Linked DNA regions of Rhinolophus ferrumequinum. The protein of the gene in region 2 interacts with the protein of the main gene of each other region in a pairwise test. Links are inferred from orthologs where the notes say so. Each region holds a gene or a part of one and is shown on either strand. Other genes may lie near its edges.

Region 1 (7,533 bases), on a different chromosome or scaffold from region 2:
TATCAGGTTTCAGATAGTTGTGCCTTCCCAGGTCAAGAGCAGCTTGCTGTGCAAAGATCAGTTTTATAATTTTACCTGGCTTTTTCCCCACCTGTACTCCACTCCTACATCCTTTAGTGAAAACTGCATTACTTTGAAGTTGAAGGTTTCATTCAGGCAGGGAGAGTAGCTTTACTCCCACCCTGAGTTGGAACAGATAATGGATTCTGCAGAGCAGGTGTCCAACTGACCAAGGTCATCGAATAATGATTCAGGGTAAATATCCCAATTGCAGTTGTGGACAAACTCAGCATGTGACAGGTGCAGTTGATGAGTACCCTCTGTCTAGCTGTCACAGTGGTCTGAGGACATGGAACAAATCAAATGAAGAAGCCTGCATCTGCCTTAGAAGGTTATGTCTTCACTAATCCTGTAGCCACTGGCAGGTTGGCATTACTTGGTGCAAATCTCTGCACTGGTGTGTTTAGATGATTTTGTTTCTCAGGAGCTATTTGTTCAGGGGAAAAAATGGAAAGTGGAAAGATGAAGTCAGTTTTCTGCTGAAATTTCCAAAGATGAATACTTGTGAAGAACAAGCAGGCAATCTCATTTTAGACACACTCAATCCAAAGAACCTAGAAAGTCCATCAGAGTTGCAAATAGAAGATTGCAACTTCAAAAAACAAAAGACAAAAAACCCCCACAAGAATAAAACATATCAGAAGACTGCTCCTGGGAAAGAACAGGAATTGTAACCAATATGTTACAAGTTCATGGTTCTCAACATTGTACTGAAGGTTCTATGTGAGATAATCCCTGAAAGGCAAAGTCATTTAATACGTGTGAGGTGTGAAGGATTAAACTCACACAAAAAAATGGGCTTAAGTTACTAGGTTTCTTTTGTGTTTGTTTTTAAATACAGTTGACAAGATGAGTTTTAGAAAAACCTTTGAATAATATAGGGATAGAGTACATATATTAAAATAGTTTATAGCATTTTTCTGCTTTCATAGCTGAAAAGGCTAATGTAAATTTTTTTAATTTTTATTTTTGACATTCAATATTATTTTATATTAGTTTCATGTGTACAGCATAATGGTTCGATATTCATATAATTTATGAAGTGATCCCCCCGATAAGTCTAGTACCCACTCGGTGTGAAAAGGTTAACGTAATATTGAACGTTTTGCTCAATGTTAAGTCATTAGAAAGTGAATCAGTGTAAACTTACGTTGCTTTATATTTTCAATGTAGTGAAGAGGTTAATAAAACGTTTCTGTGAAGGGCTATATTGAGAAAAAAAAAATAACCCTTGAAGGACTAAGAACAAAGTGAACAGATTCATACCGGTTGATAGAATTTTTCCCATTTCACAAGTGTGAAGGCTGAAGTTAAATGACTTGTTCAACATTATAAGAGTGAAAGAGCCCAAATTCACAGTCCTATCTTTTGACTATTCACTCAGTCCTCTTGTTACTTTACCACAGTGCCTGCAGCACTCTATCAAAAAAGGTCCCCACGAAGCTCTGAGTCCAACAGGGCCTTCGAACTTCTCCTTCTTCCAGAGTCACTTCAGTAATAGTTGTGTGGGAATGCTTGCCCTCTGTGTTGAGAGTAGGAGCTATAGCCTTCTCCTGTTTCTCTAAACATGTGGTCAGCCAACAGAAATATTCTTGAGCACCTACTGTATGCCAGACATTGTTCTAGTTGCTGGGATATAGAGTGACCGATTCCTTGCCCTCAGGGGATTTTTATACTAGTGGAGAGGGGAGACAATCAACCAGCATCAAATAACTAAACAAATCAATCATATCAGATTCGGATAAGTGTTAGGAGGAAAATAAAGTAGGGTAACATAGTATAAAGTAACTAGCACTGGCAACTTACGTTGGGACTGAGGCAGCCTGGGTTTTCAGCTAGGTTGTTTGGTGGCTTCATCAAGCAGGAAGACTGTAGAAATAGCAATAGCATACCCAAAATAGTAGCTTGAATATTGGAAATGGCAAATGATGAAATGGACAATGAGATAACATTTCCCTAATACATTATTGTGTGGACCAGGTAACCCATCCAGTGTTTTGAGTCTGGGCCAAGAAATGTGGACATGTAGAAGAAAATGAGACAGCTCCTGGGTGGAGGGTGAGGGTGGCTTTCCCTGGGAGAGAATAATGATGGTATAGTATCACTTCCTAACCCTGAAGTTATCCCACATTATCTTTTAAAAAAAGGGGATACTTATCATATACCAAGCAAACATTTTACATGAAGTAACTCATGTACATGGATTACTTCACAGAAACCACTCTTCATGTTTTACAAATAAGGAAACTGAGGTACAGGCGGCTTAAGTAACTTTCCTGTAAAGGGCTAAATAATGCCCCCCAATGATGTCCGTGTCCGAATCCTCAGAACCTGTGAATATGTTATCTTACATGGTAAAAGGGACTTTGCAAATGTGATTTAACAATTTTGAGATGGAGAGGTTATTCTAGATTATCTGGGTTTGCTCAGTGTAATTATAAAGACACTTATAAGAGTCAGAAAGGAGATGGAAGCAGAGTCGGAGTGATGTGGCCAGGAGCCAAGGAATGCAGGAAGCTTCTAGAAGGTGGAAAAGACAAGGAAATTGATTCTCCTCTAGCACTTCGAGAAGAAACGTCGCCTTGATTTTAGCCCAGTGAAACTGATATCAGAGTTTTGGCTTCCAGAACTGTAGCATAATCAATTTCTGTAGCCTTAAATCATTAAATTTGTGGTAATTTGTTACAGCAGCAACAGAAAACTAATACATTGCCCAAGGCCACGGAGCTACAAAGTGTCAGGGCCAGAATAAAAATTGAGGCAATCTGGTGCCAGTGCTAGAGATTTAGCCACTGTGCTATAGGGCTTCTCCCAGGTAGAACAAAATTTCAGGTTGAATGCAAAATAAATATTTTCTAGATTTTTCTCTTAAGCTTTGAATTTCTAGGTCCCAGAGAAACTGAAAAAAGAGAAAGGGGATCCTATGCCAGCTGATATACACCAGCCCCCACCCCTTCCCTGCTCCATGTCTTCAATCCTCGACCCAAGAGATCACTAAACAAACCTGCCATTCTAGAGATGAGGAATTTGAGGACTAAAGGGTTGTGATTTTGAAATTACCCAGCTGGTTGGTGAAACAATCAACTAGTTACACTAGGGGCAGGTGGTGGTGTGGGGAGACCCACTGATCTCAGTGCCTGTATGGAACTCAAGGAAGGAGGCTGTGTGACAAGTGAGAACCTAAGAATCTAGCTTTCCTGAAACCTGTGTTTCTCATTATTCAGTTAGGAAGGATGGAAAAAGAAATGTTGATTACACATCTACTCAGTGTAATATCTCTAGAAGAATCCAAAGTTCTCACTGTAGCAAGATTTAGCCCCTTGTGATTATTGTATTTCCCCATAGTAGCCACTTTGACATCCTGGTCGCTGCCCCTATTTCTCTAACACAGCACCTAAGACAGTGGGTGCTCATAAATATTAATAGAATTAAACAAAACACTTCTGTCATGCGGGGTCTCTGCTCCCGCTCCCCACATAAGAACACAGGATATGGTGAGGCCAAAAAGGAACACAAACGGAGCCATGGATAAGGGGTTCACACCACTATATTCTCGCTGGCGGCTGGGTTGGAGACACAGGAGGCAGGAGCCACACGATTCGCAATCCAGCGTCCACTTCTCTGCAACCCAACCAACCCAGCGTACCTATGGCAGTTATATCAGTGTCTAATGGCTAACCAGTAACAGCTGATGGCCAACTAGTCACAGCTGATGGCCATCTACTACCAGCGCCAGCACCTTTCCACGTGAGGCGGAGAGCCTGGAAACTGCTCTCTGGGACTCTGTCCCCACAGCTTTCGATTGCATGCTTAGACCAGTGCTTTTCCAAATTTAAGGTGAATGCAAATCCCCTGGGGACCAAGTTAAAAATGCAGATTCAGAGTCAGAAGGTCTGATTGGGGCCAGAGATTGGGCATTTCTACCAAGTTCCCATGATACTAATAGTGCTGGTCCATGGTCTATATTTTTCAAGGTCCCCAAAACTGAAACCTCCCTATCCATATACAAAATATAAGTCATAGAAAGTTTCATCATTCGGTGAAAGTTTCCAAAGATGGCATAGACATATATTTTTCCCGTTTTAGGCACCCCTGCCCTCCCAACAAAGGGAGCAAATGAGATGCCAGAGTTCAATGGAAAGAGTTGGAACAGTGCCGCAAGTACCTGTTCCCGGCTCTGCTTTGGTCTTCCAGAGGCAGGGAAGGGTGTGATGAGAGCAAACAGGAAAGTGTCCAGGAGTTCTCAGGCCTCCCTTCCTCTTCTAGTTCCAGCCTCTAAGTAGTGTCTGCCCCTTATGAACCGCTGAAGTCGCCGTCAAACACACGGGAGCGCAGCGCCGCGCCCCCCTCCGCGCCCTTGCCCAGGCGGAGACGGCCGACGCGCGTGCGTGCGCGCTCAGTATAAATAGCTCCCAGGCGGTTGCCACTGGACAGAGTCCGGCTGCGGACACCGCGGGCCATGGCGGGTGAGGACCACCAGTCGCAGGGCAGCATCCTCTACAACATACTCATGAGCGCGAAGCAAACGCACGCGGCTCCGGAAGCACCGGAGGCTCCCAAGGAGAGGCTGGGGGGCGCATGCTGGGGCTGCTCCTGCGGCGCGGAGCCCCCGGTGGGCAGAGAGGGGCTGCCGGGTGGGAGGGCAGTAGCGCTTCTATACCGCTGCTGCTGTTGTGGTGAAGACCACCCGCGGCAGGGCAGCATCCTCTACAACATCCTTACGAACGCAAAGCAAATGCAAGAGGCTCCGGAGGCGCCCGAGGCGCGGATGCGGGGCGCGTGCTGGGGCTGCTACTGCGGCGTGGAGCCCCCGGTGGGCAGAGAGGGGCTGCAGGACGGGCGAGCCACGGCGCTCCTGTACCGCTGCTGCTTTTGCGGTGAAGACCACCCACGGCAGGGCAGCATCCTCTACAGCTTGCTCACAAGCGCAAAGCAAACGCACGTGGCTCTGAAAGCGCCCGAGGCGCGTCCCGGAGGCGGGTGGTGGGACCGCTCCTACTGCGCGCAGAGGCTGGGGGGCAGCGAGGAGCTGCCAGGTAAGACGGCAGTGGCGCTCCTGTACCGCTGCTGCCTTTGCGGTGAAGACCACCCGCGGCAAGGCAGCATCCCGTTCAACGTGCCCACGAGCGCAAAACAAACGCACGCGGCTCCAGAGGTGCAGCCGGGGGCCCCCTGGTGGAACCCCTTGTGTAGCGCGCAGCGGCTGGTGGCCCTCAAGAATCCACAGGTGGTCTGCGAGGCGGCCTCCGCAGGCCTGTTGAAGACGCTGCGCTTCGTCAAGTACTTAGCCTGTTTCCAGGTGCTGCCCCTAGACCAGCAGCTGGTGCTGGTGCGCAGCTGCTGGGCTTCGCTGCTCATGCTCGAGCTGGCCCAGGACCGCATGAACTTTGAGACAGTGGAGACCTGGGAGCCCAGCCTGCTGCAAAAGATCCTCACCACCAGGCGGCGGGAGATCGCGGGCGACGAGCCGCTGCCTCTCCACACGCTGCCGCCAAACTTGGTACCGCCCATGGAGGGGCGGCATTTGCCGTGGGCCACCGAGGTCCAAGCCATCAAGAGCTTCCTTATCAAGTGCTGGAGCCTGGGGATCAGTACCAAGGAGTACGCCTACCTCAAGGGGACCGTGCTCTTTAACCCGGGTAAGGGCGCCGGCCTGGGGCTCTGGGTTTTCTCTGCTCAGTAGAGCGTTGGTCAGTGCCTACCTGGGGCACAGGGGCTGAACAGCTTTCAGTCGTCAGGGAGTGTCTGGGCAAACGTGAAGAATGGTGATTAACTCAGCATAGTTGGGGGAGCTTCAGAAACCAACCACATCGCGTGGGTAGGCTGCTGCCAGGAACTCAGCCTAGAGGAGGGGGATTTTTTTGTTGAGGTCTGTGCTTGTCTCTACAACTTTCTGTTACTACAGAAAAATTTGTGCCTTCAAGGGACATGGCTATTCCTTCTCTTCTAGTCTTTTAAGTCCACTAGCATAGCTTTAAAAAAACTTTGTGTTCACTGCAAGTTCTGCAACATCTCTTTCTGAATCCCAGTCCTGAAATTTACTAGAACTTCTTTGTTGGAAAAACTCTATTATAAAGACTGGCAAGAAAGGAAACATTTGTTAAGGACCCATAGAGAGACCATCCCCTGGGGACACTGTCAGGCAGGACACTGGACTTGGTGTTTCTGGATCTGCCTCTGAATGGTCATTTTTATGGTCCTAAGCAACTGGACTATTTTATCCTCCAAGTGTCTGTGATGTATCAGGCTAGCAAAGGGGCAGGAAAAAGACACACTAGGTACTTCGACCAGGAGCACTGTATTTTAGAGCTCAAAAAGTCCTTAGAGACCTCCTAATCAACCCCTCTGCCCTCCACCCCACTTGCAAATGATGTACCCTAGTCTCAAGTGACCTTACTCCAAAATAAATGGCCGATGAGTTATGGAGCATGGACCTCCTGTCTCCTGGGCCCAATGGGATGTCTGTTGGATGCTGGGCACTTTCCTCCACACAGGACAACCATATCATGGGAGAACATCTCCCTGGACAGTTCGGCACCTAGTCTTGAGTATGTCTTACTACTAGAGTCATCTTCAACCAGAATCCCACCACAAGGGTCACAGAGTGCTGGAAGTCTCCAGGCAGCTTGAATTGGGGTAGTTTTCATAATGTTCTCTCCATATCCTTTTTTCCTGACACCAGGAGTCTTTGGTTATGTCCTTGCCTCCTGCCTAGCATTTTTTTAAAGGGGTATAGAGCAGTAATTAGTGGGAAAATAATTCATTCAGAACTCACATTTCAGGATCTAGAGACCTCAGCTCATCCCAGCGATCACTGTAGGTCGTCACCTTTTGCTTATATCATTGTTGTCCAAATTTGCCTGTGCGTAAGAAACACTTTAGGGAAGCTTGTTTAAAGTCTCTCCAGGCTCCTTCCCTAGAGGTTCTGACTCAATAGCTCTGGTCCAGGGTCTGCAAATCTGCATTCATAATAAGTGCCTCATGTGGTCTTTAAGATAATTGAAAAACTGTTTTCTCCTTCAGTCAGTGTTATTAAACATCTACCATGTGCCTTGTTCTGTTGGAATACAAAGATAAGATGGGTTCAGCTTCCAGTTTACTTTCTACTAGTTACTACTTTCCCTCTTCTGCCTTGTTTTGCATACTTTTGTCACACACACACAGGCATGTACGCAAGCACGCACCTCCCTTATTCTTGGTTTACTTTCCCGAATCCTCCCAATATGAGTTTAGCCAGCTAAGCTGAGTGTGTTTTAAACACAAATGCACTATATGGGGGCTGGGGAGTAATATCTGTGTAGTGTGTATCCTTTCTTTGCTGTTTATCTGTTTCTATACCTTGATTTTTATGTTTAAACTTTTTTTTTTTTTTTTTTTTTTTTTACAATGGAGTCCATCTATTTGCCTTTTCTCTTTCATGAATCTGCTTTGAAGGCAAATCAGGGAGGGAGGTTGGAAAAGGAGGGTGTGGTA
Region 2 (7,225 bases):
AAATATCAAAGCCTGTGCCCTAGAAATGAAAAGCAACAGAAAATGAGGTATGATGAATTGATAGAGGTTTGGTGGAAATATAGAGTAAAGTAGGCATACGGACGTCGCAAGACGGCTTCGTGATCTCAGTGGGAAAAGTATGTTAAGCAGGTTTCCAGCATAAAAGAAATCCCAAGGCCCAGAGGAGGAAACTAGAGACAGATCAGTGAGGTGACCTGCTCAAGGCCACACAACTCATGACGGGGCAGAAGGGAGTTTGGGCTTCAGGCTTCCTGCTTGTCCTCTAAGCATTTTTTTCCAGGGATCCTCATTGTGTGTTTTCTTTTGGTGTTAAAGTTAGGAGTTTATAAGAGTCTTGGTTTGCTTTCTGTAGCATTGGTATGTTACATAACGTGCGCTATATGAAAGACAGCAGGAAAGAGCGTTCAAAAAGCCAAACAGCTTTTCAAAGGTTTTATGATCTGGGGGAAAGATCTGCAGAGGTAGATTACGAGGCAATTCGAAAAAAATCTATAAATTTGCGATGCCTCGTTGGGTTTTAAATATTTAACAAATGGCACCTGTGCAATACAAAAATCAAAATTTGCTTCCAACATTAGGGCAGTGACTATATGCATGTTAATTCAGGTTAGTCCTGTTAATTTTCAGAAAAGGAAAGTGGGACCTAGAAATAGCTGTTAATATGCAGTAATGATAGCAAGACTGAAGCGGTCTCATCACCTTTTAGCAACAGAAGTATGCATTAGTAGAATGTTTTAGGAAATGATGCTGATTAAAATACAGTAAAAATTCTGCTATAGACACCAGGGATCTATCTACCTTTTGTTTCCACTTCAGTTTTGTTTATTGCCATTCCTTGTTTCAAATGGAAACGAAATACATTTTCTGCCTGGTGTCCCTGTGTCACTTGGCGCCTAAGAATGCGGTTGTTTGGATTGTGGGACTATATTGTTTGAAGAACATGTTGACACTATGATTGGACACTGGGCATGATGCATAATAGACTGATATTAACTAATTTATTAATATTCTTTGTGAAACAATCCGAAGAGGTCCTTTTGTTTGGTCCCATGTATCCTGCTTTGGGTAGACTCCTTGTGGTAAGATTGTGAAGTGTTAGCAAAATGTGTTATTCTAGGCTGTTATCTATTTGTTTCATTTCCCGCCCCCAAATCCTTGAAGTTGTGACTCTTAACGGTTTATGCCCAGTATTGCTCGTGCTGTGTATATTTCCTGTGATTATCCGCTCTTTCCTCTTTCAAGATGAGAAAACTCTATCACTCGGGAAGATTCTTGAACTGACTAAGCTATGTGTTTAGAAAATATTCTGGAGGCTATCTCACAAGTTTAGGGCCATAGAGATCATTTTAAATTTTAAATTGGTTAAACTGGATTCAAGACAGTAGGTGTAATCTTAGGTCCTGGACTTGTAGAGGTGACATATTAATCCCAAGGGGAAAACAGAGAGCTCTGAAAACCTAGTGCACTTCTGGTCATTCGGAAAGCAGCTAGCTTAGTGGACACTGCACCTTGCATAGATGAAATATGGTTCCTGAGAGATCAATGGGGACTAAACTGGGGACGCTTGTACATGGATCTCTGTGAGCACAGAAAAAAGACGTACACATGAATATGAGTCTAACCATGTTAAAAATCTATATATACTAACAAAATCAAATGGTTCATAATGGGTCAAATAAGTACCTAAAGGGCATAAGAAAATTCTGGGAAATAAAAGATAACTCCTGTGAAATGTGGTGACTTAAGGTCCATCGGTAAATAATTGACGACAAATCTTGTCTTTAAAAAGCCATTTCGACGGAGGAATAAACAGGTTCTGTCACAGCATGATAATGCAAAGAAACTGACGGCAGTACAGGATTCTGCACAGGTGCAGAATCTGAATGCGTCGATCCATTAAATAATTTATTATTATTATTTTTAAGTAGGTCTCTGGATAAAGTAAGAAGAAAACTTTTTTTTTTGTAAATCTTTTAAAAATATGTAACAATTGGATCCATTCAGTACCCAGAAGATTTCAGTTTATTCAGAAGTCAAGATAGTAATCTGAATCAAAGATATTTTTTAAGCTGTCTTTATAATGCAGTATTAGCTTCCATATTTCTTTTATTGTATTTCAGAAAAATCATGTTTCTTTTTCAAATGCCTTTTCATTTATTTTTTAATTACAAAGTGATTCCATGTCTCATTTTAGATTGAATAGGCAAATCTTCCCCCACTCCTTGGTATCTGCAGAATGCTTGGATATTCTACATCTCAAAGCTCTTTTAATTCACTACTCACAACCAAATTTACATCTTAATTGCAGAGTTCACATTTAACAATATAGACAGCATAATGCTACTAGTAATTAAGCTTTTACTACCTGCTTTTATACAGTATTTTCAGGCACAGTTTTTGCTATGTGAGTTCCCCTCTAGAAACTTGTATGTATTTAAACCACAAATAAAAGGAATCAGGCCTGTATCTTAGCTCTGACTAAATACATGGTAGAAAAATTGCTTTTTTTCAGTGGGGGGACCAAATGATGCCTGTCGTTTTTATATTCTGCATTTTAATGTGGTTGTTCTATTTTTGTATTGTGTTTTGTTTTGTTTTTTGAAGACCTAGAAAATTTGAGAGCATTGAGAAAAAGAATCAAGTTCTGATTTAGTGAATTTAACACACGCTGACTATCTGAATTAATTTATTTTAATTTCAAAGATTATACTATTTATGTCATGTAAGACATTTGATACAAAAGGTTGGTAAGCAGTAGCACTGCATTATATCAAAATTGTGAGACTTCCACTCTCCATACGGTAGCAGTCATCTCTTTGCCATAAATAGGTGGTATTTATTCCAAGTACATTTGCTAGTCTAAAAAATCCTGTATTTTAAAATAGCACCTAACAAAACTCTTTGTCACGTGGAAACTGAAAACACGCTATATACTATTGGAGGAAAAAACACCCTCCTCTTCTTATATTCTCTGAAAAAGATACTTTTTATTGAGAATTCTTATTTTTGTAAATTATTATGTTTGAAGCTAGTCCTTATAATGATCAGACTGTGTGATGATTTCCAAAATATTTCTGAGCTGATTTTTTTTAAAGTATTCAGGGTGTATTATGTATAGGAACAAATATGTAAACAGCCTTTTATTAGAAAGCTGATCTTTTGGGTAAAATCATATATATTTGTATATGTCTCCTAGTTTGGAAGCTTGTATTGAAATAAGTATATGACTGAGAACACTTGGAGTGCACTATTTTGTGATGCTCTCCCTACCATAAAAAATAAAAAATAAAAAATGCAGCCTTTATTTTGTCAAAATGCTCTGAGATGGATTTTAGGTACCATTTACACTACAGTTCTCAGTCTCCCATCCCTGAAAGTGGAAAAGCCAATTTGTCCTGCAGTTTTGAAAAGCTATGCATCGTATATCTATAGGTAGGGAGACAGCAGCAGGTAAAGAAATGTTTACACAGATAATTTAAATAGGCATCCTCTCAAAATTGTCTCCAGGCACTATTTCCCCACTCTGTACTTGTGAAAAACTGAATTCCTCCTCAAAGATGAGATCTCCATTCACCTGCCCCAACAATTGAGAAGAATATCTTTGATTCTTTAAACTGCCCCGTCTACATCAGGAAAACAGGAAAAGACACGATGACGAATGCACGAGAAAGTACAGCGCTCAATAAGCCGCAGCCCCCAGTGGAGTAGGACACACACAACCGCAGGACAAACTTCATTCTCTACCTTCCCGCAGAATCCTTTCCCAAATTAACTGAGAGTCTGCGTGAGTTCTTCTTTGCAAGGCAAAACGGATCTTACGTAGGAGAGAAACCCAATGCCTCCAGTGCTTAGAGAGTTAAGTTAGTTATGTTTCTTTGGCAGCTTCCCAGGAAAAAAAAAAAAGAGAGAGAGAGAAAGAAAAAAAGAAGAAAGGAAAGGAAAGGAAAAAGAAAAGAGAGGAAAGCAGAAGCCCAGGATCCACAGACTGCGTTTCTATCCCTGGTCTTGGCTCTCTGTTTCTCTCCCACTCTGTTTTCACCCCTTGCTTGTCTGCACCCGTCCTACCTGCCTGGCTGCGTTGCTCGGTGCAGCCTCCCGTGGCCTCCCTCCTGATTGGGCAGACGCCCCCCAATCGGCTGCGCGGCTGGGCCAGTGGGACTGCATATGTAAAGCCCTACTTCATATTAATAAGCTCCAATCGGGGCTTTAAGTCCTTGATTAGGAGAGTGTGAGAGCTTTGGTCCCAACTGGCCGTGCCTATAGGCTTGTCACTAGGAGAACATTTGTGTTAATTGCACTGTGCTCTGTCAAGGAAACTTTGATTTATAGCTGGGGTGCACACATAATGGTTGCCGGTCGCACATGGATTCGGTAGAACTTTGCCTCCCTGAATCTTTTTCCCTGCACTACGAGGAAGAGTAGGTACCTTTTTCTTTCCTTTTTAAAACTCGGCGTGGGGGTGCGTGTGTCTCAGTGTGTGTGTGTGTGTGTGTGTGTGTGTGTGTGTGTGTGTGTGTGTGGAGGGGGGTGGACAGAATGTCTCTTTGCACACTGATTCAGGTAATGCCCTGGGTGTTTTGTGTGCACTGTGCTTGTTTGCGTCTGTCTGGTGCCTTTTGTGTGGAGCGTGATCTCCTAATTCAGTAAGTCGAGAATTGTTCTGACTACAATATTACCTTTGAGGCGAAGCTCAGTGACTGTCCGTAAAACAGCTGTGTGACAGTCACTTCTTATTCAGGTGCTAAGAATAGGCACTTGGCACAAATGCTTAGTGAACTGTTAAAATGCATCTTTTCCTAGGACCCATTTTCCCAAGGAAAGATGTTTTAAAATACAATATTCAAAATGATTTATACTATGGAGCGCTTCTTATGGATGTGCAGTTTGACAGATATTTTCAGCGCCCTGTCATTTCTTAACCCGGCAGAGTTAGAGGCAAAATTGCACATTTACTAATTCTCCTTCAGAAAACAATTTAAAAACTAGCCCTTTGCAGTTCAGGGCTAGAATAATGTTATTTGCATGGTTAGCGTTAAGTCAGCACTTAACTGACAAATCAGTCCATTAAGTAACATGAGATTTTCACACATTATTAATATTTAAGGGAGAAAAAAAGCCCTAAAGAAACAGTAGTGACTTTTAAAATTTCCCCTTGAAGAGACTCTGTTGAGATTGTGAATTTGTTTCGTGATTCATGTCCAGAAAATATAGAAAAGTAGTTTTGTTCTTACATGCAGTTTAATTTGTATTTATGAACATCTTTATGCCCATGGATCTATATATTTGGATTAGTAAAGGTGGGGTAGATAGGGGGTTAGGTGAAGTAAATTAGGCATTCCTGTATAAATGAGTAGGTCATAAACTTAATTTCAACCCACTGTTAAGATAAAATATTAGTATGTCACTGGAGCTGTCACTGGTCCATCTTTCTGTTGAGTCAGTTATATTGCTTTGCTTTCAGATTACATTAATATCAACTGTTATAATAATTCTGAAAAGAGTGCTCTTGGCAAACATTTCTCTCTATAGATTGTGGAGAAAATATAAAACTGTAGAAGATGAGGCAGTGCATTATAGGGAAATGTCCACTAGCTGTCCTTAGTGATTGCATATTGCACTGCTTTGTAATTAAGTAAGAGATGAAAGTGACTTGCAGCCTGAGTGGCTGTGTGTGTGTGTGTGTGTACACACACACAGACTCATATACACACTCATGCAGAGGATATTAGCCAAGAGGTAGACTTAGGAAGAGCTGAAAGGTTGGAAGGCTGTGCTTCCATCAGTTGGAAACACTCGAGAAACAAGCTTAAACTGTGTGAAAATAAAAATGAAAAATAAACAAAAGTAGGACTGCGCACTCCAATGTAGGGTGAAGGTTAGAGGACTGGGGACTGGAGAATTGGAGAGTTTAAAATGTCTTCATGTCAGGAAGAACACATTATCCGAACTCACCCAGGTTCTGAACTTTTCTCTCTTAAATAAAGAAATAAAAGAAACTTTAAAAATCCCCTAGAGGCGTCTTTTTAAAGTAGTTTCCTTGAATTTAACTTTTATAGCTAATTTGAATAATTGGTTTAGATAAGCCTCTTAAAGCAGATGCATTTAAATGAAATCAGGGCACATGTCCTTTTGGCTTTGGCGCAAGATTCAAACTAGCTTTCTTTTGGGCTCCATTAAAAGTCATCTTTAAAAAAAATACAGATTTATTGTCTGGATGCAGTTCTGATGGTTACGTGGTTCACTGGACAGACAGAAAGATCTAATGCTAAGCAACACATCTGCCTCTCTGTCTCAATTAATAAACCCTAGAATTTATACATGCTATTAATATTCATAGTAATTGTACTGGGTTAAACCCCATCACGTGTGTGTATACATAGAAATGAAACCAGTTATGCAGTTTCACAGGAAAATATTGGACAATTTCTGCTTCGGAGGCGATTAAAAAAAGGTTCGTACAATTTATTGACCACCGTTAGAAGAGCCTAAAATGTTAACCTATAACTATGTATTTTTTTTTTTTTAATTTAGGAAATGGGCCAGCACATTAAAGAACATAATACTTGAAAGCTTGTTTCACATTTAATAGCAGTAATAACTGATAGCATAAATAGATGAAAATAATATATCTGCTCATTTTGACATACGTGTCAGTCTAATCATGCTAAATGAGTGTGCTCATCACATGAATCCCTTTCAACCTCTGATTAAAATGTAACATTGACTACAGGATTATAGAGCGGACTTAATTTTACTGACTGTTTTAACAGTTGTCACAGCTGTTGGAAGAAGGAAAGGCAATTGAAACACTCCAAAACAGGCAAGACGAGGAGGGAATAGTTCAGTAAATTTCAGCTTGATCACTGAAATCCAGACACTGACAATTAAACAAATTTGGGTTTTCAGAATGCTGTTTGGAGCTATGTAAGTTTTATTTTGCATGGTCCACTCTTTCTGTTTCAGGGTTTTGGTTATTTTTTTTTTTCTCTGCCTCATCTCTCCTTATTAGAAGCTGAAGTAAATTGAAATATAACTGTCCAAAAGTAATACTGTAATGTCAAAATCTATGGGATAAAAATAGACAGGAAGGAAAAATGTATACAGTAACAACAACAGAAAGCTTAAATCAGAGTGGATGCAATTTTTTTTTTTAAAGATAAGAGCTTGCCTAAGCCACTATAGGTGTGATATTATTTGAGAACTA

Evidence for each region.
Region 1: the proteins of ESRRG (region 2) and NR0B1 interact in binary tests that used the Homo sapiens proteins (3 or more experiments, as listed by UniProt). The link is inferred for Rhinolophus ferrumequinum from reciprocal best matches to the Homo sapiens genes ESRRG and NR0B1.

The regions. Positions count from the first base shown.
Region 1 is NC_046284.1:102,306,119-102,313,651, forward strand, and holds the start of NR0B1 (nuclear receptor subfamily 0 group B member 1), read left to right. Parts: upstream 1-4,519; coding exon 4,520-5,699; intron 5,700-7,533. UniProt on the Homo sapiens protein: Nuclear receptor that lacks a DNA-binding domain and acts as a corepressor that inhibits the transcriptional activity of other nuclear receptors through heterodimeric interactions.
Region 2 is NC_046310.1:8,615,119-8,622,343, reverse strand, and holds the start of ESRRG (estrogen-related receptor gamma), read left to right. Parts: upstream 1-4,210; 5' UTR 4,211-4,383; coding exon 4,384-4,439; exon of another isoform or gene 4,440-4,443; intron 4,444-7,225. UniProt on the Homo sapiens protein: Orphan receptor that acts as a transcription activator in the absence of bound ligand. Binds specifically to an estrogen response element and activates reporter genes controlled by estrogen response elements.